Drosophila melanogaster: one gene and its partner. The protein of the gene in region 1 interacts with the protein of each later gene in a pairwise test. Each region holds a gene or a part of one and is shown on either strand. Other genes may lie near its edges.

The links.
Region 2: the proteins of PGRP-LB (region 1) and BG642312 interact in a two-hybrid assay, tested with the Drosophila melanogaster proteins (one large-scale study listed by BioGRID).

The regions. Positions count from the first base shown.
Region 1 is NT_033777.3:11,458,816-11,462,574, forward strand, and holds the start of PGRP-LB (peptidoglycan recognition protein LB), read right to left. Parts: upstream 1,738-3,759; coding exon 1,632-1,737; intron 1-1,631. UniProt on the Drosophila melanogaster protein: N-acetylmuramyl-L-alanine amidase involved in innate immunity by degrading bacterial peptidoglycans (PGN). Probably plays a scavenger role by digesting biologically active PGN into biologically inactive fragments. Has no direct bacteriolytic activity.
Region 2 is NT_037436.4:6,231,873-6,235,234, reverse strand, and holds BG642312 (BG642312), read left to right. Parts: upstream 1-1,853; 5' UTR 1,854-1,898; exon of another isoform or gene 1,899-1,935; intron 1,936-2,244; 5' UTR 2,245-2,313; coding exon 2,314-2,398; intron 2,399-2,462; coding exon 2,463-2,611; 3' UTR 2,612-2,766; downstream 2,767-3,362. Other genes in the region: CG10226 (uncharacterized protein), read left to right, coding at 1-44, 117-473, 534-734; CG42714 (uncharacterized protein), read left to right, coding at 1,197-1,230, 1,291-1,458, 1,514-1,617; CG13299 (uncharacterized protein), read left to right, coding at 2,911-2,971, 3,035-3,312.

The DNA.
Region 1 (3,759 bases):
TGGCCCAACACTTAGATAACCAATTAGGGTTAATCACTGAAAACGTTGCATAGACTATAGGGCACGACTCACGCCCCGCAATAACAACTTCCGACAAGCGTGAGTGATTAACAATCCCAACTGTTTTGGCAAGTGACGATTAGATTACCGTGATACGGATCGCTGATCATACGGATCAGAATGACACTCATTCAACTAGTTCAATATCGGTCATTCTCGAAGGTCGCTGCTGATAAGAACCCTCTATCGAGGGCATAAATCAGCTATGGGGAACTTTTTTTTTTTTAACCAATTCTCAAGACTTTGGTTGTGCAAATAATCAGACAGCTGCGAACTGAACTTAGCATTTGCCAATGGCTAAGTTTACGTTATTTTTGAATCTCCCTGTGGCGATTTATTAATGTCACTGTTATTCGCCCAAAATGAAATCTATGAGTCATCCGTTGCTTTAACCATCTCTTTTTTAAATGGTAATATTGCGTTTTTGAGCTCACATCTGCGGTTTTACTTCTTGTGTTTTGATAAATGAACGAACAATTTCCATAGCTGGAGGTGACAGTTGAATTGTTGAATATTTTTTGCAGTCAGGAAATTCGGCTGATGCCATCTAAATACATAGTCACAGACTAGAGTTAAAACAAAGGTTGACAGCTCGCAGATGTGACATTTCTTCGTACGAAATTCCTTATTTAAAAATGTAAATTAACCATTTCAATGAAATCTTTATATTAACTTAGATACAGATTTTTAATTGAATTCATTTTTGAAATGTATTCTCATTTTTTATGTTCATAGTGGAAAGATTATTCTTTTAGTCTGAATCCTTTATAAGAACCAACTTGAATCGTTTCAATAGTTTGGGTTTACTTTGTTTTACACGTAAGGATACATGATATCTTATTTAAATTATATTCCTATAAAAGCTGATATTCTTTTCGCACGATTTCAGTTGTTTACGATTCCAAAACTCAAAACCGTGATTTTTTATGGCTGGTTGCTGTGACAGCATCACTGCCCCCGTCGTTCTCTGTGTCATTTGCTTTCTTTGACCACCGGCACCGGACATACTCTTTTATAATATGTATTCGTGTGATTTAATTTTTGTTTTTGTTGTATTTTCGAATCGGGGATGCCCCTTGGTGGGATCGCTTTGATTTTTTTGGGGGAATCCCGCTGCAAATGCGGCTGGTATTAAATTGCTTTAGTCGGAGTGCCGAGATCGGATGGCTAGACAAATTAACAGCGTTTTATTTTCCGTCGTCGATTTATGGCGAACAAGCACATTCCATCTTCATCTTCATCTCGCTCTTAATCTGAATTAGTTTTTTTTTCTTTGTGTGCACACAGGTTTTTCGAGTCGAAAATTTCGGGGGATAACCGCCAGATGCGTTCTGGCGCCTCGTCCAAAGGAAGTCCAAATCACCGGACTCATTTTCTCCTCCAACCTCTACTTGTCTTATTTTATTTGCTGTTTATACTTGTGGCAAGGTAAACACGCAGACCACACCGCCCCCCCCCCTTCGCCCAGCATTGGAATATTTATTACACTTCAAAAAGGGGAAATTTCTCTCAAACGCTCTTGGAAATTGTTGAATTGTTTTCAGCAGCAAAATAGTTGCGGCGCTACTTACCACAACTTGTGGCCAGCTGTTGCTGCTCCAATTGCTCCGAGTCCATGAGGATTGCCAAGGAAGTTGGGCCAGAAGTGGAGACGGATCCAGACACCTTGTCGCCCATGTTGTTTGCCAATGTCTTTGACGCTAACTGAAATGAAGTCCGAAGTCTTAGAGGCAGTTTTCTATGTTCGTTGGCAACAAGGGGACCGTTGATTAGGTCTTGTAATCTTGAGTTGCTCTTCTTTCTTCGAGAGGTCCACCACTTGGAAGTTCTTAAATCCGCAGGTTAAATGAAAAATAAATACGTTTAACAATTATTTTCGTGTGCATGGGGTCGTCAATTTGATGGGCCCAAGCAGGTGGATATACAATGCTAATAAATATATTTTAACGACCCAGGTGTGCAAATCAGATAAACACACAGCGAAAAATGTTTCGTATATATCTGTACTCATTAATACGAGATGTTTGTTTAGAAAATGCATTAAGTCCTACAAAAATCCCCCAAATAAATCGGGTATACAATTAATATGCGATAAAAATCAATTGAATTATCACCGATCGAAAATCCCCGGTTAGAGCATTGCGCATTCGACTTTTGGCAGCTGGAAGCGCTGACCATTGTGCTCATAACTTACCATTCGACTGGCTGCCCGCTAATCGCACATCTTATCAGGGTATTAAGTGCCGCTCACTAACTACGCCTTGGCACGCTCTCCCAGTAAAAAATTTCGAGGGGGGGCAAAAATCACACGCAAAATCACAGGCCTTCTTTTATAACCCCCCCCCCCCCAGCACCAGCTCCAGCTCCAGGTGGTGGTGGGGTATTCACCCAGGTAAACATTATCGAGCCAGAAGCTTTACACTCTCGCACATTAGACAAATAAACGGGTGTCTCTGCGTTGGTTGGTTGGTTGGGGTTGTGTGTATTACAATTAACAAAAGTAATTGCACTCGTCTGGGAATCCCCGGGGCCACAATGAAAACTCTTTGATGGCGTTGGCCATGCAAGTGGGAGAGTCTATCTATATCTATCTATAGCGCAAAGTGAAACACACTATAATTTCCACGCGGATACTGACTGGCCGTCCTATCTGTTTTCAATATTTCATTTTCCCTATCGGAATAATCGCAATCGTTATAAATGGCTCCCGAGAGCCAACTGTGAATATCAGGCAATAATGAGAAGTAGTAATTTAATGATACGAATTCAAGGGCCGGGTTTTTTTTTTTCTCTTCCCCGTCGGCTGAAAGATAACGTTGGGGGTTTTTTTTTCATTTTAAAGTAACTGACCTTATTTAATTTTGGCATCAGATTTGGACTTAATGGAGTGCTTTTCGATCGTGATAGTAAGTGATACATTAATTTTCTCTGCGTGCACATTCATTTAGATATATATACATATGTATATGCCAACACCCCCAATTGAAATCTTCGGCTGTGCGAACAATTCATCAGATGTCGCCATATCATTGCCTGTGCTGATTAGTTACGCCTTGCTGGTTGGTATCCCCTCAAAATTGAGCATGGGGGGATACCAGGCGGTGGCGAAGGATACTGCTGCTGGTATCCTTGTAGCGGCACGCACATGCCATATATTAGGACGCATAAAATGACAAACGACTCGCGAGGCGCGTAAATTGAAAACTCGCTGAGCCTGTGCGAGATTGCCAGCGCAAAGGATCCGCGGGGCGAAATTGTGTAAGGGGCTGGGTGGGGGGTATTGGTCCTGAAATGGGTGGCGGGGAATTTGGATTTCGGCGACTTTTTGGCTGTTTGTTATTGCTGCCTGAGCTGTCTCACTCGCTAGCTGGCTGTCGGCCAAAACTTTGCCAAAGTATTCAAATTAAAATTTCAATTAAGGAAGTGAATTTGTGTGTGCCGAAAGTGTATTAAGTCTATACAGCGGTGGCATCTTGGCATTTCACTGCTTCTGTATTCCACGTGTGCCTCTCTTGCCACGCCCCACCCCCTCCTCAACCGCCCACTTTTGTATGCCCGCACAGAAGGCTAAAACCGAAGTGAACTGAACTGAGCTGAGCTGAACCGCATTCAGCTGAAGCTGTACCGCCTACAAACAGCGCTCGTCGCCTGTTGTTTGATTTATTGCCAAAGTTTGTCGTCTGTCATATGACATAAGGA
Region 2 (3,362 bases), on another chromosome or scaffold:
TTCAGCTATTGATGCGGTACTATGATCCCGATGAGGGCAAGATTGTAAGTAGTTTTAAAAAGAAGTTATATCAAATTAGGCATTATATTTGATATTAACTTTTCTTTCCTTTTCAGCTCATAGATCAAGAGAGCATTCACCACGACATGGACCTAAAAACTCTGCGTCGTCGCCTGGGCATTGTGTCCCAGGAACCTTCACTTTTCGAGAAGTCTATCGCCGATAATATTGGCTATGGAGATACCTCGCGACAGGTGCCCATGCAGCAAATAATTGAGGCGGCCAAAATGGCCAATGCTCATGAGTTCATTATGTCTCTGCCTGCTCAGTATGATACGGTTTTGGGTTCCAAGGGCACCCAATTATCCGGTGGGCAAAAGCAAAGAATTGCAATTGCTCGAGCGATGGTAAGGAATCCCAAGATCCTTCTGCTGGATGAAGCCACCTCTGCGCTGGACTTCCAAAGTGAAAGGGTAAGAAACTATAACTTAAATTACTACAATTTTCATCAAATATTTGTATCCCCTTTTCAGGTGGTTCAACAAGCTTTGGACTCGGCATGTTCAGGACGAACATGTATTGTAATCGCCCATCGCCTGTCCACCATCCAAAATGCCAATGTGATTTGTGTAATTCAAGCCGGAAAGATAGTGGAGCAGGGATCTCACTCCCAACTTCTGGCCAAGAATGGCATTTATTCCAAGCTCTATCGCTGTCAGACGAAAGCCTCTTGAAAAGACTACGGAAAGACCAAAAGAAATCATTAAAATTAAGTTGGAAAACATTTTTCTAGTACCACAATGAGGCACGAAAGTATGCAGTGAATTTTTCTTAGCTGTTAGTTGGGACAAAAACCAATCTAATTTGGCCATAAGCAAAATAGTTGTTAAATAAATGAACATATAGATAAAGAATTATCTTAAACTTTTTCACTTTAGCAGGATGGCAAAACAAAAGTTTGAGGTGTGGGATCAATCTATATCACAAATTATTGTGACATGTATCGGTACCTTAATTCAATTTACGGTGCTTGTGTTTTATCTTATCTTTTAATATGGCAAAATTCGTTCATCGTTGTTTAAATTTGTGATAAGATAGGATAGTAAGCCTAACCGTTTATTTTTATTCACGCCGATCTTAATTAGTTGCCGCATTGCTATTTTTCATTTCATAGCGAAAGGTATTAGTTTTCCAGAATGAACGCAGTTGGCATTTTCATAATATGTCTGGGTGAGATTTTTTAAGTTATAGTAAGTAGTGACTTTGTAAAGATGTCCTTTCTAAAAACAGCATGTTCCCTTGGAGCGAATATTCCTCCAAAACCGTGCCAAGTGGAAACAAATTGTGGTACGGTGAATGAGACAAGTTCCATTTGCGGATTGGATGAGGAAATGGGTTGTATACGAAAATTTCCATCCAAGTGTCATTTGGATATAGCATTTTGCCATGAAGGAAAAAGTAAGTCCGATTATTAAACTTTAATCTCGCATATTATTAAATTATTTCATTTCAGATTTCACCGACTTTAATGAGGAATATTGCTCAATGGAATCGTATCTCTGTGAGATTTCACCCACATACGAACGCTGGACCATTTTCTTCGGGCATGAGAATTAATTCTAATTGAAAGTGCGAAAATTTGCTGCATTACGCTTATATAACAGAATTTATCTGTTTTCAAATTAAATTTTTTTCTCATTTCTAGAGTATTTTTACATAATATGAAATTAGTCCCGCATGATTGAAATGTTTTGGTTTAATTTCAACAACCAGAAAAGGGGAAAGAAAACAGCGTATAAATAAGAGAATTTGTGGGTATAAATATCAGTATACATTCTTCAAGACAGAGGAAGCCCTCTCTACGAACTCAGGACGCTCTTCTTTGGCCACCAGAAAGAGTGAGTGAAGACTTGGCTAATCGCCGACGACATACGTGTAAGTTCATTAGGTAGCATTTCAATAAACAATCAATCAACGCGCAACGGGCCATTCACGTGCCAGGCGACGTTGACTACGTCAAAGACCGGTAGGAGGTAACCGATGCCCAGCAGCGTTTTTTCCCACTCAGTGAGACAGAACGACGCCTCGAGCCTTTTATACGAATCTTAATTCGGATTTTTTGTGATCTTTTTTTATATTTGAGTTTTTTTTCTTTGCGTTATTTTTGGGTCTTCGACGGGTGCTTTGCATAATCTCTCGCCGCGGCGCCAATGCCCATTGGCCTCCTCCTTCAACGCCAATCAGTGAAGAGCTCCAGACTGGCACACTTGCACATATAAAAAGTGGACCCAACCGAATTTTGCTTGTCAGTTAATGCCCATCAATCGAATCAATCCCAGCACAGCCATGAGAAGCGCGTCGCTTAAGTTCTATCTGATATGTCTGCTAGTTATCTGCGGTTAGTGTTATTAACTAAAAATGTTATGCATCAAATGCAATTACCTGTGTCCGAATTTTTGCAGTGATCGGTTGGAGTGCTGGAGCACCGAGTCCGCAACTTTCACGTAAGGAACTCGAGGATCGATATCGACAAAAGCCCCCGGTGCCTGATGAGCGAGATGCGGATGCAGAATTGGATAGTGCCTACGATCGGAATACCCGAAGACCTTGAAGTGCAAATCTGAAAGGCTGGAGACACCCAACGCCCACAATTGATTTGTGGTTCTGTGTGGAGTGCCACTTTTTATGTCGTATTCAGGGTTATGGCTATGTAGTTCTAAGCTTAGGCAAAATGTACAAGCGTAAAATAAAGCAATTACTTGGGTGAAACGTGCGCATCGTTACTTTCCATTCTATCACGTAGAATGTGGGGCGACATCCGACGTCGGCTGGCGTCTATAAAATATGAACTCTCTGGCATTCGATTCAGTCAGTTATCAATCTCCGGCTAGTGCGAAAAGTACAATCAAAATGACCTCAGAAAGCAAGATGGTTTTGCTCTTCCTTATCGGATGTCTCGTCATGCAGACAAGTGAGTCACTGGATCATCTGGTATCATGACATTATTTTAAACCTAACTGCATTTTCTTTCAAGTCAACGCCCTGCCATTCGATAGATTCAGCCAGGAGGATGACGAACGGAACAACGAGATCAGCGGCGAATGGTTCAAGAAACCCATCCTCAGGTTCGATCGTCTTTTTGCCACCGAAGAATCACCGTCGGGAAGTCGGAAAGAAGTGAGAAGGCCCAGCAGAAGCGACAAGGGTGAAACCACGGAGAGCTCCAAGCACGCCCACTCCATGATCACCTCCATGCTCGGATTCGTGAGCAGTGTCATCAACTTTGGCAGGACCTTCATAAGGGATCAATAGAAAATATCCTAGTCCATCTGGCACATTTCGAGATTGCATTTTCCACATGT